Linked DNA regions of Lepisosteus oculatus. The protein of the gene in region 2 purifies or fractionates together with the protein of the main gene of each other region. This does not show direct contact. Links are inferred from orthologs where the notes say so. Each region holds a gene or a part of one and is shown on either strand. Other genes may lie near its edges.

The links.
Region 1: the proteins of flcn (region 2) and fnip2 purify together in Homo sapiens (affinity purification with western blotting; 5 studies listed by BioGRID and IntAct, with this or other methods). This does not show direct contact. The link is inferred for Lepisosteus oculatus from reciprocal best matches to the Homo sapiens genes FLCN and FNIP2.

What each region holds. Positions count from the first base shown.
Region 1 is NC_090696.1:23,506,505-23,517,581, forward strand, and holds the start of fnip2 (folliculin-interacting protein 2), read right to left. Parts: upstream 4,630-11,077; 5' UTR 4,474-4,629; coding exon 4,388-4,473; intron 1-4,387. Other genes in the region: ppid (peptidyl-prolyl cis-trans isomerase D), read left to right, coding at 5,280-5,364, 6,961-7,101, 7,626-7,732, 7,934-8,122, 9,226-9,348, 10,577-10,683.
Region 2 is NC_090718.1:1,061,992-1,072,510, reverse strand, and holds the start of flcn (folliculin), read right to left. Parts: upstream 4,670-10,519; 5' UTR 4,440-4,669; intron 1,445-4,439; coding exon 1,214-1,444; intron 1-1,213. Other genes in the region: ttyh1 (protein tweety homolog 1), read right to left, coding at 7,002-7,085, 7,384-7,462, 8,568-8,735, 8,878-9,017. UniProt on the Homo sapiens protein: Multi-functional protein, involved in both the cellular response to amino acid availability and in the regulation of glycolysis.

The DNA.
Region 1 (11,077 bases), on a different chromosome or scaffold from region 2:
TGGCAGTGGTACTTTAGATACTGCATAGGCTGCCATGCACAGAGTTTCAGGAAAGAAAGCTGATATGATCATCACATCAGCAGAAGACAGAAAAGGGTGAAAGGTGAAGCCGTTAAAAGCTGGTGCACCAGCAAATGACTTGCTTTGTAACGGCACAAAATGTTAAAGTTATGAAATATCGTTATCCCTCCTATGCAAAGCTAACCTAAGAACAGAAAAAGTAGTGTTACATAAGGATTAGATTTTCCCCAAGGACCTAAAAATGCATAGAGTAGATCCTCATGCTCCCTTCTCAGAAAAGTACATGAACTAAAACAAGCCAGTACCCTGAAGGTTTTTAGTATGACTAAAAACAAACCCCATCTGCTTTGTAGACAATTTCATTTAAGAGCTAAAATAAATCACCTCACTATTGCAATAATTACAAATACAAAAAAAAACATTTTCCAAGTTAAAAGAAATTCTGGCTAGTTTATATAGAAATGGTCATATTTATTAGTTGGTGTTTTTTCTAAATTAAACATAAGCATTACATAGATTTTCCACAATGCTTTCGCATACTATTTATTTCAAATCATAAGAAGCATAATATTAATATTAAATAGAACTATATCAGTATTCGATATATTGCTGAAAATCACTGATATTTATTGACCACAATTTATTGCACTTATATTTACCATTACTATATAAAAAACATATTACAGTTTCATACTGTAACCTAAATATTTGTACATACAAGATATATATATCTAATACTGAATCATGGCTTATAGTCTTCATCTCCGATATGAAAACACAGCACAATAATGTTTATCATTCACAGTAAAGTATGAATTACCAGATAAAACAAGAAATAGGAATTTGTTCATCACCCAACATTCAAGAAAAGGGTTATGCTTTTAAATGACTTTCATAAGACTTTAAGAGGAATGATTCAAAACAAATTCACATGACCAAAGGTGTTGCAAATTTGTGATTAAGCAACTCCCATGTTTTCACCATTGACTCACAGCAAATAAACAGTTATCTTAATGCAATAATGTTTTACACACTGAATGGAAGCTACTTTCAGAGAAACAAGTAAAAAGAAACTAGAAAAACCATTTCAATACACATTTAGTTTAAAAGATCTGTTTTATTTAGAGTCATACGAGGTAGCTTGAAGAAGTTTCACAGACATGCAGTTTGAATGGTTAAGCTTTCGTGTTTGCTGTATTTTCACCTTTCATTCAGCTAATCCATGGCAGCACAGGCTAAAGGCAAGTAAGGTAACTCGGACAGTCATAACATGTATATTCATGTAAGAAACCTCCCATGTAAAAGCAAAGTTATGCCTCAATTAGTGATGCTGTGACATCATCATTTGGTGGCTAATGCAGTACTCTGTTTAAGTTAATGTAAAAATGAATGATATCCAACTATAACATTAAAAATAATATTCATTGACCTTGAAAAGCAGAGTAGTTCAAAGGTAAAGATGCCTTACATTACAGTATTCAGTGAGGTTCCCATTTATAACTCTCAGTTTCGAATTGTGGCGGAATTACAGGAAAACCAAGAATCACAAGGGAGATTTTTAGTCATGGATTCGAAAAATGATTTGAAAACATGGTTCAAATAAGATTTATAGCCGCTTTGGGAAGAAAAAAAAGTGAAGTTTTCATACAAGTGCTAGAGTGCATAAATCTGTATAGTGGGTAGAGTAACTAATGTAAAAAAAACATTTTCTTTATTCTAAAGATATAAAGAAAACAGGATCATAAGAAAATTTAAATGAGAGGAACCACTTCAGATCTTTATTTGATTGCTAGTAGCTAAGCAGTCCAATGATTTTACTTGGCTGCTTCTTGAAAGAAGCCAGGGACTCAAATACAACAACAGGGCAGGGGAGTCTGTTCCAATCTCCTACAGACCTTTGTGTAAAAATGTGTCTTTTGTTCTGTTTTAGTGTCCCATCCTGTTTGTGTTTCACCATCACTAAGGAGGCCAATTATGTGTACTTTGTCCATTTTAGAATTTTGGATACATTAATTCGATCTCCTCAGACATCTCTGTTCTCTAAACTAAAAAGATTCAGTTCTCCAAGTCTGTCATTTTAGGGAATTCCTTTAAGAGCAGGAATGTTTCTGGTTCCTTTTCATTGGACTGATTTCAGAGCAGTAAAATCTTTATTATAACATGGTGACCAAAATTGTACATTTTGTTTCTATTAGTGCATTGTTCATTTTAATAACATCCCTTGATTTTAAATTTGACATGTTTATCTATATAGCCTAATATTCTGCATGTCTTTTTCTTCCCCACCACATTGTCTAGAATAGTGGCACACAACTCCAGGTCTGCATCTGCAGGTTTTTCACCTCTGCTCTTAATGGCCTAAAGGGTTAATGATTAGCTTAATTAGACAAGTTTAACAAACTGGAAAGAGATTTTCAGCTGTTGATTGAAAGAGAGCCTAGAAGTGTCTCTCATATGTTGCTTCTCCAACTTCACAGCCTCCCCCACCATATACGCATAGCTTTGTTTCTTCTGCCTGCACTACCTGCATGTAACACTCCGTACTTGTTTATATTAAATGTCATCTGCCAGGTGGTTGCCAAGTCTTGCATTTTGCAATGTTGAACATCTTTCATAAGTCCTATACTGTTTGCTTATCCTTCTTTTTGGCATCACCTTGCTTGAATTGTTTACCAAAATATAATTCTATCTAGATATCAATGCTGATATCAGTTTAGAAGAGCAGTGGTCCTGCAGTGTCCTACCTATATTTAAATCACAGTGAAAAAAAATTAGTGGAGTATTTACTCTTTTCTGTAGTGTCTTTGATCATCTGTTACAAACTGAAACATGTGACAGTCCAAATGTATCCTTTGTCCATCTATCCATTTTCTAACCACTCCAGCTCCCCTGCAACTGTGAATTGGATGGAGTCTTTCCCAGAAAGCAACAAGCATAAGGTGAGACACACCCTGGATGGGACACCAGTCCATCACAGGGCACATAAAGATGTGCACTTTCACAACAGGACCAGTTACCTAGAACCATCTTAATCCACCTATAAAATTTTAAAATTCTTTAAAAGGTCTTTTAACATTAAAGTTTGTTTCCCAGTGACTGTTCCAATAGCTGGTAGACAATAGACAATCCAATAGCTATAATAATGTATTATTACTACATTACATTATTATAACATAAGCTGGAACATGGGATTTGATCTACACACTTGGCTCCTTCCCAGCAAGAATGGCCAAGAGCAGTATATCGGAGATCCCCATGTCCCACTTGCTCTGTGATTACACTACATATTAACTTAAATAGCTGCATGCTACAACATACATGAATTGTCTACATCACAGGTCCATTGTCAATGTAGTTCTCCATTCCCCCCCCCCCCATGTTTCAGCACTTTCATACAATACATCCTGGGATTGTGTATAAATAGGCCTTTTTAGTACATCCCAATCAGCAGTTACAATTTTAAATCACTTCAGTGGAGATGAAACGTTTCTTTCTGCAAGTCATTAAAAGCTTAGAACATTAATCACTGAGGAAATAATTAGAACATACTATATTGTGCTACTACAGGTTGCATTGTTGGCCAACTAACTCCATGACATTAAACCACAGAATATTTTCAAATGTCCCTTCAACAGTCATCAAACTGATTTTGGGGAAGCTCGTTTTCACCTTATGAAGTAAAACGATCACTCTTTAATTTATGATAATAACAGAATTCAGTCCCCAGAGCGTCTAACTTCCTGCGATTATTTTCTAAGAAAAGTAAAACAAGAAACGCCAGCCGACGCAAAACAATAGTCCAGAGTAACGAAATACATAGGCCCCGAGACACTTCTAGAATGTGGAGTGCCTGCTTAAAATAGATAAATTACAAAAACCCTAATTTAATCATTTCTACTTAAAAACGTCCTGGGTGGAACTTTCACGAAATATTACACCAGTGGTACTACACCACCTAGCTACAGACAACATAATCACAAGCTTGCACTAATCGCCTTTATTGCAAATGTATCTTAGCAATCCATTTCTAGAATATTTTCTAATAACACGCACGTTAAACAACAACCTACATATATGAATTGGCAACAAGTAGTCCTAATCGAAAACAAAATCCCATACAAGCCATTACACATTACGTCAGTTGTAGATAGACTGTGAGCCTTCGCTCACAAGGTTTAAATCAATATACCAAGACAAATTCCCTTTTAAATGCAGAGCGCACAAACTCATCGAAGCCCGCTCCATATCATTTTGCACCACTGCGTGTTTCATTCATTGTTAAGCAATTTGAAGAATATTGTCTACGCACAATCAGTACAACAACATGTATTTTTGGCGTTTTGAAAACAATTGACTTCAAACTCACCAAAGCTCGGGTCCTTTATAACCCTTCGATGAAGAAGCCGCGTTGGCTCTTTTGTTAAAAAGCTTCTGAAGCAGCGTAGGAGCCATGGCATACCGTTTTAAAGGTATCGAGCTCGTCTGCTTTGGTTTTGGTGCGTGGCCATGGTAAAGAGTTGAAATAGAGTAACTCCATGGATCGGTATCGGAGTCATATGACAATGTGAGTGTTCAAAGGCAGGAGTGCAGCCTCAGCCACACACAGGAATTAGGCACAGATCGCTCCCCATTGGCTACAACAAGATCACACACACATACGGCAAACCTGTCAGCCATTGGACCCTTAGTTCAGCAAATGCCGCTGGGATGTGTTAAAGAGGAGCACTCTAAAGCCATTGCAATTAAAATGATCAGACCACGTGTGCTTAATATTGACGAAGTTTATTACTTTTTCCATACTGAGGCCCTTTTGATTTCATATTTATTGAAGTACTTGTTTAATGTCTGTCATTCCTTGAAATCCTACATTGCTCCCTTTTTCCCAGTTTCTCAGTACTGTATATTTGGTCCAAATACGACATGAAATGTAAAATACTTCAGATATCTACTGTATCTACTAAAAAAGTCACGATTTGTCGTAATACAATGACTGTCAAATTCTAAAACAAAAAAGATGTGTATTTTAAAAGAGATCACGGCAGATTTTCACTGTAATCTACTACAGCACGTCTGCTCTTCCCCTCCCGCCCTTCACTCTCGGAATTGTCCAGAGAACATTTCTCGCGGCGTCAAGGCCCCGGATGTCTACAGCTCTGCGGCGGAAGTAGTGTTTCTGGCTGTTGGCAGCACACGACCCGGCTACATAGGATAAGAGAAGGACGGTTCTGAAGAGGTTGCTTTATTATACCATAGGCAAAATGTCAAATCCCACGCTTCAGAGTAAACCTATGAACCCAGATAACCCTCGGGCTTTCTTTGATGTGGATGTAGGAGGAGAGAGAGGTAAGGATTTTTATTGACCAACAGACACTGCATGCCGATCGTCGAGACGCATGTTTCAGATATTCCTGGACATTATTACTATACATATACACGAGCACTTGATTTGTTTAATATTGTTTTATAGCTTTGATCTGTAATTATTTAAACATTTATTCTTCTTTAAAATGTGTGTTTTCGTGTCGCTTTCAAGAGCACTATGCACACTGCTAGCTAAATTTATGTATATATACATCCAGGCGGACAATAAATATAGGGATACCTATAGACATTTAATTGCAAATTAAAAAAAAAGAGTGCACGTACTCTAGGCATTGGACCAGACACGTTTGTTGTACCTGTCTGTTTTGTATTGATTCGATTCATTCATTCTCGCAAAGCTTATTTTACTGGTTGCACCCAAATGTCTGTTGAGACAAGTCCCTGAGACAAGCAATGGCTTCTGGTCTGGTTGTTGAGGTTGTGTTTTTCTCCTCTGAGTCTGTGGATTGGGGAGTCCTCTAGGATGTGCTGCATAGTTTGCTCCATCTCACAGGAACACAGAGGGCTTTGTTCCTGTTCAAGACATGGACCATGACTATTTCTAAAGTGAGAGCTGATCACTTTTTTTCTTGAGAAGTGAAAACCACAGGATTGTTGGGTAGGGCATGTGATGAGGTGCTTGTCTGTTACGCATGGTGATTCCCTTCCTTGATCCCAGCTGGCGTCTGCATTGAAGTCTTGCTACGGAGGGTTTTTCCAGACTGGTTTTCTTGAACGCAGATGTATACTTGGTGGATTAAATATGTCTCCGTGAAGTGGCAGGTGAAGAGCATTTTGGACTTTTTAAAACATTTTGTGGGTTATTATGAGTCATTGGATATGTGGAGGAGTGATGTTCACTAGATCAGGGAGGCAGGAGAGTGGGGTTGAGTATAGGGCTCCAGTGATGATATGCATGGTGGCTGGGTGTCTACTCTGTGAGTATGTGATGATCAGTATTCTGCTGCTGAGAAAGAGTGCAAGAGCTGAGGTCCTGAGGATGGTAGTGGCAGCTCCCAGTGTTGTACCAGCAAGTTTGGAGATCAGATTGTTCCTTGTTTTGATCTTAGCTGCTGTTCTCCTTAAGGGGTCTGGAAGACTCCATGGTATTTTGGACTACGATAATGCTGCATTTTCTGATGGGTCATTTGGTTAAATAGACTCGATACTGTTTTTGAGGGGCTTGGTTTGACTTCATATGTGTTTCAATACTGTTCAAGTTTGAACATGTCCTCATTTAGGACCTGTTCCAGGGTATCGCAAATGGGGTCACCCATTGTTCCAGGATCACTTGGAGCAGACATTTTAAGCCCTCTAGGACAAGAGTTCCCTTAATTTAATACTATTTGCATTTGTGATCAATAACTTATAAGTGGTTACAGTCATTAAAAATTAGCTGGCCTTTACAATGTGGTGCATTAGGGCTCTCCAGGACCAGGTGTACTGACCCTTAATAGATGTACTAAGTACTTAGTAAATGGTTTGTCTCAAATTTAAACTTGAGATGGTCCCTGCATGGTTAAAATGTCTTAACTGATTATACATTACAGGTATTAACTATAATCCTTGGCATTTTAGTTGGGCGCATTGTGATGGAACTGTTTGCTGACGTTGTCCCTAAAACTGCTGAAAATTTCCGAGCCCTGTGCACTGGAGAAAAGGGAATAGGTGCAACGACTGGAAAACCACTCCATTTTAAAGGATGTCCGTTCCACAGGAGTGAGTATTCGTTTAATATTTAAACTTTACAAACCTTACCATCCATTGAAGACATATAGTTGCAGATGGAAGTACTGACATTCTCATTCCTTGACACGGGTATAAAGTGTAAAAATACAGTTTGTTGAACTGTACATTGTTCACAGTTTTAGAAAAGGCAGTTACTTGTTTGCTGTACCCAACTGGTTTGGATTAGCCAGTTTTTACATCTCGGCTCATAGCTATGAACTGTGCACAGAGGAGAATGAGGAAGAGTTGGCAGACTCCCCTTCCCACATAACTTCTCTTTTAACATGTTGCAGACAAAATATCCCTCTTCCACCGGTTAAGTGCTGATAGGAGGAGAGATGCGTCTGCAAGCGCCCAGGAGACGCTAAGGGCTGCTGTGTTGCTGAGAGACAGAGAGTCAGAGCTCTGGCCGACTAATTCCATATTTTCTAATCATAATGTACAAAACTTTCCCAATTGACAAAGGATTACTGAATGTGATTTCTTTAATAATACATTGGTACATTTTTTTTAAGTTATAAAGAAGTTCATGGTCCAAGGTGGAGATTTCTCCAATCAAAATGGTACTGGAGGGGAGAGTATTTACGGAGCAAAGTTTGAAGATGAAAACTTTCACTATAAGGTAAGTCACAATTAAGGTGAAAATTCGTATTCGGTACCTTATGTGGTTACAATGATTTAACTTGTAGATTGTTCTGGGGTGCAGGCCTAGAAATCGGTAAAGCTACTCTGTGACAATGTCCATTGTAAAAAGCGCTATACAAATAAAACTGAATTCAATTGAATTTCATCATAAAGGTCTTTTCTAATTTTTCTGTTACAGCATGACAAAGAAGGATTGCTGAGTATGGCCAATGCTGGCCCAAACACAAATGGCTCTCAGTTCTTCATCACCACAGTACCAACTGAACACCTTGATGGGAAACATGTAGTCTTTGGACAAGTATTGAAAGGCATGGGTGTGGTCAAAATCCTTGAAGCAATGGAGACTAAAGATGATGCACCTGTCAAGGTATGGAAAATGAATTCAATATATTCTATTTTTGAGAACATTAGTTAATTAAACAATTTTTCTTGTTAATTGTGTAGAGGTTTAGCCATTGTGGTTAACTTTGTTGTCACAGCTGAAATTACAACTAGAGTAACAACTTTATTCCTGTTAGCATTTCATTATATGCCTTGTGTCCTTATCTTTGTTGAAAGTTTTCCATGCAAATAAATATTCTGAATTTTATTATGGGATTGTATGCATTAAATGGATCAAATATGTAGAAGCAAATTGCAATTATTTTTTCTGCATCTTCAAAGTAAGCGCTGTCATGTGTATTTGCCACGGCATGCTGGTAGCATTTTTAATGTGTTCTTAAATTTCTTCTATTTATAACTGTCCTAAGTTTTACCTTGACGTATTTGCTTTCACAGTGAGGCATTAATAGCATTTCTAATGATAGCTAATTAGCTCCGGTTTGTATTTGCACTGTATTGCTCATCTGATCTTACCCCATATTTTAAATTATTAATTTAAGTAAATAATTATTTATTTGGGATACAAATCTGTTTGTTTTTTTTTTGTCAGTCAGGTGCCCAAATCTTTTTTGTTTTGTGGGTACCTTATTTGGTAACCTTGATTTAACTTGCAGATTGTGATGAAATTTGAAAGTACAATTTTGACTTCAAATCCCTTTGTTAAGTGAGAGTAAACCATTATACACATCATGCCCTTAATGACTGATCAGTGATTAATTGGGGGGGAGGGTTGCAAGAACCTTATTACTAACCACAGCAAATTATTGCAGTAATTTTTAAACAGGCATTTTGCCATTTGTGCCTGGTCATTTTGTTCTGTTTTGTAAAATTAAGAGCTAAAACATAATGACCCGGGTGCTTGGATCATTGGTTTGACTTTTTTTGATACATTTATTTATCAAAACTGTCACCTTAACTACTTTCCAGGTCAAGAGGGCTTTGTCTGTGTTTGTGTGTTTCAGTTGCTGCAGTACTTTTCCCTGCTGATTGACTTACACAGATGAAAATAAGTATAGTTTGTAGATTTCAGCTGATGAATCCTGCCCAAGAAGGCCTGGGCCTAATCTATTTCTTTGAATCCTTGGAAAGCCTTGTGTTATAGCTGACTGTGGGGAGCTTAAGCAAGGAGATGACTGGGGAATTGCTCCAAATGATGAAGAAGGGGATACCTATCCTGATTTTCCAGAGGACTCAGATATTCATTTCAAAGATGTAAGTACAGTCTGCTGACTTTTACCCTTTACATTTTCATGGTTTTGTATTATGAACATTGAGAAAAAAGCAGCATTACATACTGAGAGTGACAGAGTACGATAAAACTAACTTAAAAATGTCCCAATGTATTATTAAAGAGAGCTGAGCATAAGAACAGTTATAAATGATAGGTCACTTGGCCTACCCAGCCCAATAAATCTTAAGAGTCTCTGGGTGCGCCTGAACCGTCTACTTTTCAGGTAAAAGCCAAATGGACTAACAATTGCATGTAACACAAGCTGCAGCATTGTAACAGTGGTACATTGATGAGGTGGATCCGTTTTACTCATAGGCTGTTTTCAAACGCTCACTTTGTTGTGCATCTCAAATAAGTCTACTGCTTTTGTGTGGGTGGATACCAGTCAGAGGCTTTATGTGGTGCTGTAACTAATTTTAAAGTACATTCTTTTGGAAATTCTGAATGAAAGCCTCTGAAAATAAGTAAAATGACAAGTTTATCTGGTCATTAAAAGAATATACGGACTGGACAAGTATTGTGACCATAGTGAAAGACAAAAAGGAGAAGCGGAGACTGACATATTATAGGTTCAGGAACCACAGCCTGGATATAGAAACTGTGTGACACAGGCAAACTTGGCTAACTAGTTAGACCAGGCTGTGTTCCCACTATCAGTAAAGAGAAACAGACAGAGATGCTCTTTCTGCTACACTGCAAGAAGTTCTCAGAGATTAGACAAAATATTCTTACCTAAAATAAGGAATCTAAACAGAATTACTACACTTGCTAGAATCACAACATCCATCAATCCAACTAGTAGAAGAGCAGGAAACTCTCTGGAATTGGCAGGGTATTAACATATATCCTGTTATAGTCTGTTATAGAGGAACAGAGATTGAGCCTCAGATATACTGATTATTTTAAATGTTTTGATAATTGTTATTCCTATGTCATCACTTTTATTCAGGTTTGAGCATCTGAAGAAGGCTCCACGGCCGAAATGTTGTGTTTGCTTTCTTCTCTTTTCAGCATGGAATAAACCTATTACTTGTTCCGTGGTATTATGATTAGTATTATGAATAAAGTTTATTATTATAGCACCATTAAAGGTGGCTTCTCAAACCACTTTAGTGTTTTAAAATCTTGCTTTACATTTGACTTTAATGTTTGTTTTCTATGGCATCATTTTCTGTGTTTAATTTATATTTATATGTTTTATTTATATAGGTTGACAAAATCCTGTCTGTTGCTGAAGATGTGAAGAATATTGGAAACAATTACTTCAAATCTCAAAACTGGCATATGGCTAATAAGAAATACTCTAAATCACTAAGGTGTGTTAATTATTTCTGATACTTCATTCTTGTTTATGTGTCCTACAGCATTTTAAGATTAAGGTTTACATTATACCTTCTGTTTGATAATAAAAAATAGTTTATTTTTATTATGATCAGGCCTACCGTACATTACAAAAAGAATTGCTTTATTATGGTCAGTAACTGGAAATAATTCGCAAATTGGCATCCGTTTTTCTGTGGTCATTTTCAGGGTTATGATGTTTTTAATTTATGTAATAAACCAAGAGAGAAAATGAAAATATTTTGAACCAGTGGCAGAAAATATCACAGTATATTGAGGATACATACCTTGTTTTTAAGATAATAAGGTTTGTACTAGAATGGGAAAGATTACAAACAAGAGAAGTTCATTCAGCCCATCTCACCCATT
Region 2 (10,519 bases):
CACTGCCCAGAGAGACAGAGGGGTCGATACTGACACACTGCCCTCAGAGAGACAGAGGGGTCGATACTGACACACTGCCCTCAGAGAGACAGAGGGGTCGATACTGACACACTGCCCAGAGAGACAGAGGGGTCGATACTGACACACTGCCCTCAGAGAGACAGAGGGGTCGATACTGACACACTGCCCAGAGAGAGACAGAGGGGTCGATACTGACACACTGCCCTCAGAGAGACAGAGGGGTCGATACTGACACACTGCCCAGAGAGACAGAGGGGTCGATACTGACACACTGCCCAGAGAGACAGAGGGGTCGATACTGACACACTGCCCAGAGAGACAGAGGGGTCGATACTGACACACTGCCCTCAGAGAGACAGAGGGGTCGATACTGACACACTGCCCAGAGAGACAGAGGGGTCGATACTGACACACTGCCCTCAGAGAGACAGAGGGGTCGATACTGACACACTGCCCTCAGAGAGACAGAGGGGTCGATACTGACACACTGCCCAGAGACACAGAGGGGTCGATACTGACACACTGCCCTCAGAGAGACAGAGGGGTCGATACTGACACACTGCCCTCAGAGAGACAGAGGGGTCGATACTGACACACTGCCCAGAGAGACAGAGGGGTCGATACTGACACACTGCCCTCAGAGAGACAGAGGGGTCGATACTGACACACTGCCCAGAGAGAGACAGAGGGGTCGATACTGACACACTGCCCAGAGAGAGACAGAGGGGTCGATACTGACACACTGCCCTCAGAGAGACAGAGGGGTCGATACTGACACACTGCCCAGAGAGACAGAGGGGTCGATACTGACACACTGCCCAGAGAGACAGAGGGGTCGATACTGACACACTGCCCAGAGACACAGAGGGGTCGATACTGACACACTGCCCTCAGAGAGACAGAGGGGTCGATACTGACACACTGCCCTCAGAGAGACAGAGGGGTCGATACTGACACACTGCCCAGAGAGACAGAGGGGTCGATACTGACACACTGCCCTCAGAGAGACAGAGGGGTCGATACCGACACACTGCCCAGAGAGACAGAGGGGTCGATACCGACACACTGCCCAGAGAGACAGAGGGGTCGATACTGACACACTGCCCAGAGAGACAGAGGGGTCGATACTGACACACTGCCCTCAGAGAGACAGAGGGGTCGATACTGACACACTGCCCTCAGAGAGACTCACGTCACACATGTCCGCTCTCTGACTGGCCGAACCGCTGGCTCGCATGGTGAGCCCCACTCCCTCTCCCTCCCGCTCCCTGTCCTGCTCTGGGGGGGGGCAGGGGCCGGCCGGGGGTGCCAGCGGCGGGTCGGGGGGCACGGAGGGAGATGGGGGGTGCAGAGCCTCTGTGCAGAAGAGGGTCCGGGGCCCGTGGAGCTCACAGAAGTGACACAGCGCCACCAGAGCATTCATCTGGGGAGAGAGAGACAGGTACTGAGAGAGAGAGTCCAGACTCTTACTGGACACACTGTATACACACACACACACCTGGAGTCCAGACTCTTACTGGACACACTGTATACACACACACACCTGGAGTCCAGACTCTTACTGGACACACTGTATACACACACACACCTGGAGTCCAGACTCTTACTGGACACACTGTATACACACACACACACACCTGGAGTCCAGACTCTTACTGGACACACTGTATAAACACACACACACACCTGGAGTCCAGACTCTTACTGGACACACTGTACACACACACACACCTGGAGTCCAGACTCTTACTGGACACACTGTATACACACACACACACCTGGAGTCCAGACTCTTACTGGACACACTGTATACACACACACACACACACCTGGAGTCCAGACTCTTACTGGACACACTGTATAAACACACACACACACCTGGAGTCCAGACTCTTACTGGACACACTGTATACACACACACACACACACACACACACACACCTGGAGTCCAGACTCTTACTGGACACACTGTATACACACACACACACCTGGAGTCCAGACTCTTACTGGACACACTGTATACACACACACACCTGGAGTCCAGACTCTTACTGGACACACTGTATACAAACACACACCTGGAGTCCAGACTCTTACTGGACACACTGTATACACACACACACCTGGAGTCCAGACTCTTACTGGACACACTGTATACACACACACACACACACCTGGAGTCCAGACTCTTACTGGACACACTGTATAAACACACACACACCTGGAGTCCAGACTCTTACTGGACACACTGTATACACACACACACACACACACACACACCTGGAGTCCAGACTCTTACTGGACACACTGTATACACACACACACCTGGAGTCCAGACTCTTACTGGACACACTGTATACACACACACCTAGAGTCCAGACTCTTACTGGACACACTGTATACACACACACACACCTGGAGTCCAGACTCTTACTGGACACACTGTACACACACACACACACCTGGAGTCCAGACTCTTACTGGACACACTGTATACACACACACCTAGAGTCCAGACTCTTACTGGACACACTGTATACACACACACACACACACCTGGAGTCCAGACTCTTACTGGACACACTGTACACACACACACACACCTGGAGTCCAGACTCTTACTGGACACACTGTACACACACACACACACCTGGAGTCCAGACTCTTACTGGACACAGTGTATACACACACACACCTGGAGCCCAGACTCTTACTGGACACACTGTACACACACACACACACCTGGAGTCCAGACTCTTACTGGACACACTGTACACACACACACACACCTGGAGCCCAGACTCTTACTGGACACACTGTATACACACACACACACCTGGAGTCCAGACTCTTACTGGACACACTGTATACACACACACCTAGAGTCCAGACTCTTACTGGACACACTGTATACACACACACACACACACCTGGAGTCCAGACTCTTACTGGACACACTGTATACACACACACCTAGAGTCCAGACTCTTACTGGACACACTGTATACACACACACACACACACCTGGAGTCCAGACTCTTACTGGACACACTGTACACACACACACACACACCTGGAGTCCAGACTCTTACTGGACACACTGTACACACACACACACACCTGGAGCCCAGACTCTTACTGGACACACTGTATACACACACACACCTGGAGCCCAGACTCTTACTGGACACACTGTACACACACACACACACCTGGAGTCCAGACTCTTACTGGACACACTGTACACACACACACACACCTGGAGCCCAGACTCTTACTGGACACACTGTATACACACACACACCTGGAGTCCAGACTCTTACTGGACACACTGTATACACACACACACACACCTGGAGTCCAGACTCTTACTGGACACACTGTATACACACACACACCTGGAGTCCAGACTCTTACTGGACACACTGTATACATACACACACCTGGAGTCCAGACTCTTACTGGACACACTGTATACACACACACCTGGAGTCCAGACTCTTACTGGACACACTGTATACACACACACACCTGGAGTCCAGACTCTTACTGGACACACTGTATACACACACACACACACACCTGGAGTCCAGACTCTTACTGGACACACTGTACACACACACACACACCTGGAGTCCAGACTCTTACTGGACATACTGTATACACACACACACACCTGGAGTCCAGACTCTTACTGGACACACTGTATACACACACACACACCTGGAGTCCAGACTCTTACTGGACACACTGTATACACACACACACACACACACCTGGAGTCCAGACTCTTACTGGACACACTGTATACACACACACACACACCTGGAGTCCAGACTCTTACTGGACACACTGTATACACACACACACCTGGAGTCCAGACTCTTACTGGACACACTGTACACACACACACACACCTGGAGTCCAGACTCTTACTGGACACACTGTACACACTGTACACACCTGGAGTCCAGACTCTTACTGGACACACTGTATGCACACACACACCTGGAGTCCAGACTCTTACTGGTCACACTGTACAGACTGTACACACACACACACACACACACACACACACACACACCTGGAGTCCAGACTCTTACTGGACACACTGTATACACACACACACCTGGAGTCCAGACTCTTACTGGTCACACTGTACAGACTGTACACACACACACACACACACACACACACACACACACCTGGAGTCCAGACTCTTACTGGACACACTGTATACACACACACCTGGAGTCCAGACTCTTACTGGACACACTGTACACACACACACACACCTGGAGTCCAGGACAGCTCTTAGAATACACTGAAATCATATGACAGGCGATTTAATTCGACTACACACTACTTGCTTGTCAGGATCAATCGTATAACTGAGGACATTATTGACGAAGTCTTACCTTCTCTGCGCTGAGCCTGGCGGTGTTTACTTAAGTAAACTACAAAGAGTTTGATGTCTGTCTCGTAGCAAGACCTAGAACTACCTCGACTGCTGCTACCGCCGATACTGCGAGAGCTGACAGCAACGCTAAAAATATTTCGAGCGACAGTTAAGATAACGACAGGTCTCCGTCCACTGTCAGCACAACAGACCCTTCGCCTCTGCTGTCATGTGATTCGAGGCGCATGATTCTGACGTCATGCTCTCAAATTACCGTAGTTCTTCAAAGATTTTCACCTCTAAAAAACAGCAAAACAACAGCTACCCTGACCGATTCCAAGATACATAAATCCACCTTTTCTGCACGAAGGAAACGCATCAGTTGCACGAAATGATATTTAGTTCACTTCTGTAATTACAGGTAAAAGGAAGCGCGTTTCATTTTAAGGTCACCATGACCGAGAGCGCGTTTTATTGGAGATTATCTTTCATGCGCTGATTGTACAGGCGGCAGTGTGTTCAGTGTGTAGTGTGTACATTGTGTACAGTTTTGTACTGTACATTATGCAATACGTGTATCAGTCACACACATTTTCATTTCCCCACAGAGACAGGGCACGTGTTTGTGTATCAGTGTGTGTAACCATACGTTTCATAGAGCATCTCCTGATGTGTGTCAGTGAGTGTAGCGATGTGTTTGTATCTGTATGTAGTGATGTCTGTCTGTCAGTGTAGCGATGTGTTTGTATCTGTGTGTACTGACGTGTGTCTGTGAGGGTAGCGATGTGTTTGTACCTGTGTGTACTGACGTGTGTCTGTGAGGGTAGCGATGTGTTTGTACCTGTGTGTACTGACGTGTGTCTGTGAGTGTAGCGATGTGTTTGTATCTGTATGTAGTGATGTCTGTCTGTCAGTGTAGCGATGTGTTTGTATCTGTATGTAGTGATGTCTGTCTGTCAGTGTAGCGATGTGTTTGTATCTGTGTGTACTGACGTGTGTCTGTGAGTGTAGCGATGTGTTTGTATCTGTGTGTACTGACATGTGTCTGTCAGTGTAGCGATGTGTTTGTATCTGTGTGTACTGACGTGTGTCTGTGAGTGTAGCGATGTGTTTGTACCTGTGTGTACTGACGTGTGTCTGTGAGTGTAGCGATGTGTTTGTATCTGTGTGTACTGACGTGTGTCTGTGAGGGTAGCGATGTGTTTGTATCTGTGTGTACTGACGTGTGTCTGTGAGTGTATTGATGTGTTTGTACCTGTGTGTACTGACGTGTGTCTGTCAGTGTAGCGATGTGTTTGTACCTGTGTGTACTGACGTGTGTCTGTCAGTGTAGCGATGTGTTTGTACCTGTGTGTACTGACGTGTGTCTGTGCTGACGGCCCCTGTGTAATGACCCCCACAGCCTCACACACACGGGACACAGACCCCAGTCTGGCAGAGATCGACTTTATTAGAGGCAGGAGAGGGGACAATACAGGGTCGTCATCTGGAAACACAGTCCACCAGCTCCCCCACACCTCAGAGCTGCAGTGACACTGGCCCGCCTGCGCAGCGCGGGGCGCTGTCCCCCGCCCGGACGCCTGCAGAGACCGCAGCGGCTCCGGGGAGAGTACAGCAGAAGAAGAATAATAATTAATAACACAATTAATTAAGCAGAAGTAGCACCTGTAGTGTCAGGAGCGCAGCTAGAGTTTTATTGCTATGAATACACAGTGATAAACAAGGGTACAGATCCCTTATCAGGTCTGACAGTGCTCGGTCCCTCTTTATAAAAGCTCATTAGAAGGCTAACAGGAGAAAAGGCTGGGTGTGTTGTGCAGTCAGGAGGACACCCTGGTGACACAAACATCAAACAGGAGCAGCGCCACTCTCGTCTCACTTACAGCTGACCACTGTCCACTCCTGTCCACTGTCCACCCCTGCCCCAGTCAGGCTGCCTGCTGTCCACTCCTGTCCCAGTCAGACTGATCAGTGCCCACTCCTGCCACGTTCAAACTGACCAGTGTCCACTCCTGTCCCAGTCAGACTGCCCGCTGTTGACTCCTGACCCAGTCAGACTGACCAGTGTCCACTCCTGTCCCAGTCAGACTGCCCGCTGTTGACTCCTGACCCAGTCATACTGACCAGTGTCCACTCCTGTCCCAGTCAGACTGCCCGCTGTTGACTCCTGACCCAGTCATACTGACCAGTGTCCACTCCTGTCCCAGTCAGACTGCCCGCTGTTGACTCCTGACCCAGTCAAACTGACCAGTGTCCACTCCTGTCCCAGTCATACTGACCAGTGTGCACTCCTGTTCCAGTCAGACTGCCCGCTGTTGACTCCTGACCCAGTCAGACTGACCAGTGTCCACTCCTGTCCCAGTCAGACTGCCCGCTGTTGACTCCTGACCCAGTCATACTGACCAGTGTCCACTCCTGTCCCAGTCAGGCTGACCAGTATGCACTCTGGTCACAGTCTGTCTGATGAAATGGAGTGACTCTGCTCCCTCCACCAGCCCAGCAGTTTTATAATTAAACCCGTCATTTACAAACACGGTCACAGCCTCTGGCCAGACGAGAGGACAGGACAAGGACAGGACCTTCAGTGTAAAGAGAGGATCTGGGAGTAGGTGGGGTTCGAGTTCGATTGGCTGCCTCCATAGCCAGTCATCATGCTCGGTGAATACTGTCCAATCAGAGAGAGGGAGGGGCGGGGCCACCCGCAGACAGAGGAGAGGGCGGAGTCGGAGCGATCCATTGCGGAAATCCAAGAGGGGTGCCCCAGGAATGAAAGGAAAGAAACAAAATAAAAGGAGTTACTCAAGTAAAAGCAAGATGAAGATTCATGTTATGAATGATCCCCGAGACTAAGCGACTGGGCTTTACAGATGAAAAGGACTTCAGGTGACTACTCTCCAATTAGAGAAGGATTCTGTCAATCCGTTCAGGAGAGTAACCACCTGCCACCAGAATGGGAGCCTCACCGAGGGGGGCGGGGACTGCCTGTCAATCAAGGGGAGGCTCTCATATCCAGGATTGCCATTGGAGGAAGTGCTTGGAGTCCTGAGAGAGAGAGAGGGGTTAATACAGACACACAGGACACTCCAGTACATTAACACTGCACTGAGAGAGAGAGGGGTTCATACACACACACTGACTGGACACTCCAGTACATGAACACTGCACTGAGAGAGAGAGGGGTTCATACAGACACACTGACTGGACACTCCAGTACATGAACGCTGCACTGAGAGAGAGAGGGGTTCATACAGACACACTGACTGGACACTCCAGTACATGAACACTGCACTGAGAGAGAGAGAGGGGTTCATACAGACACACTGACTGGACACTCCAGTACATGAACACTGCACTGAGAGAGAGAGGGGTTCATACAGACACACTGACTGGACACTCCAGTACATGAACACTGCACTGAGAGAGAGGGGTTCATACAGACACACTGACTGGACACTCCAGTACATGAACACTGCACTGAGAGAGAGGGGTTCATACAGACACACTGACTGGACACTCCAGTACATTAACACTGCACTGAGAGAGAGGGGTTAATACAGACACACTGACTGGACACTCCAGTACATGAACACTGCACTGAGAGAGAGAGGGGTTAATACAGACATACTGACTGGACACTCCAGTACATTAACACTGCACTGAGAGAGAGGGGTTAATACAGACACACTGACTGGACACTCCAGTACATGAACACTGCACTGAGAGAGAGGGGTTAATACAGACACACTGACTGGACACTCCAGTACATGAACACTGCACTGAGAGAGGAGACTGGGTTGAGATCATTCCTAATCCTATTGAAATGAAGCATCATTTCTGTCTGTCTGTCATTAAATCAGAGGAAAGTACAGACAGACAGACTGACTGACTGACCCACTGCCTCAGTAGTATTTTCACACCCTCTGACCAGGCAAACAGTGTCTGTATCTGTGTGTGTATGTGTAGCTGTCTGTGTCTCTGTGTGTGTGTTTGAGTCTCTGTATCTGTGAATTTGTGTATTTGTGTGTCAGTCTGTGTGTACGTGTCAGATAGTGTGTGTGTGCATGTATCAGTGCGTGTGTCGTTGTGTGCGTCTAACGTTTGTGTGTAGTGGTGTGTGTGCGTGTCGGTCTGCCTGTCTGTTACTCACGGGAGGGGGGGTGCGCTGGAAAAGGGCGGAGCCCAGCTGGCCCCCTGGTAACTATAGAAACCAGGTAGGACACCGCGCTGGGAGCCCGCGGGCGTCTGTCTACGTGCCTGGTGAGAAGGAAAGGGGTCCTCGCTCTCACTGTCGGAGTCTTCATAGTTGTCCGAGTCGCTGCCAGGTGGGAAAAGACAGAGAAAGAAGTTTATGAAGAACACCCCTGAAGCAGGAGTTTTAATAACAATTGAATGCCTGACGAGATCGAGGAGCTCTAGTCTAGCACAGCGATGACAGGCAGAGCCGCGGACGCCCTGACCTGGAGAAGCCCCTCCAGGCGCCGGGCAGGGAGCAGAGCAGAGTGGTGAAGGACACAGCAGACAGCAAGGAATAGAGACACAGATACAGCAGCCCCTCCATCCCATCATAGCACAGGCCCTTCAGAGAGTCCACATAGTCCTGAGACACAGAGAGACACTGGTCAGCACAGTGACCCTGACTGACTGGACACTACAGCACAGAGACACTGACTGACTGGACACTACAGCACAGAGACACTGACTGACTGACTGGACACTACAGCACAGACACTGACTGACTGGACACTACAGCACAGACACTGACTGACTGGACACTACAGCACAGACACTGACTGACTGGACACTACAGCACAGTGACCCTGACTGACTGACTGGACACTACAGCACAGAGACACTGACTGACTGACTGGACACTACAGCACAGTGACCCTGACTGACTGACTGGACACTACAGCACAGTGACCCTGACTGACTGACTGGACACTACAGCACAGGCACTGACTGACTGGACACTACAGCACAGAGACCCTGACTGACTGACTGGACACTACAGCACAGAGACACTGACTGACTGACTGGACACTAGAGCACAGTGACCCTGACTGACTGGACACTACAGCACAGAGACACTGACTGACTGACTGGACACTACAGCACAGAGACACTGACTGACTGGACACTACAGCACAGAGACCCTGACTGACTGACTGGACACTACAGCACAGAGACCCTGACTGACTGACTGGACACTACAGCACAGGGACACTGACTGACTGACTGGACACTACAGCACAGAGACCCTGACTGACTGGACACTACAGCACAGAGACACTGACTGACTGGACACTACAGCACAGTGACACTGACTGACTGACTGGACACTACAGCACAGTGACCCTGACTGACTGACTGGACACTACAGCACAGTGACCCTGACTGACTGACTGGACACTACAGCACAGAGACCCTGACTGACTGACTGGACACTACAGCACAGTGACCCTGACTGACTGACTGGACACTACAGCACAGAGACCCTGACTGACTGACTGGACACTACAGCACAGAGACACTGACTGACTGACTGGACACTACAGCACAGTGACCCTGACTGACTGGACACTACGGCACAGAGACACTGACTGACTGGACACTACGGCACAGTGACCCTGACTGACTGACTGGACACTACAGCACAGAGACCCTGACTGACTGACTGGACACTACAGCACAGTGACACTGACTGACTGGACACTACAGCACAGAGACACTGACTGACTGGACACTACAGCACAGAGACCCTGACTGACTGACTGGACACTACAGCACAGTGACCCTGACTGACTGACTGGACACTACAGCACAGTGACCCTGACTGACTGACTGGACACTACAGCACAGTGACTCTGACTGACTGACTGGACACTACAGCACAGAGACACTGACTGACTGACTGGACACTACAGCACAGAGACCCTGACTGACTGACTGGACACTACAGCACAGAGACACTGAGTGACTGACTGGACACTACAGCACAGAGACCCTGACTGACTGACTGGACACTACAGCACAGGGACACTGACTGACTGACTGGACACTACAGCACAGAGACCCTGACTGACTGGACACTACAGCACA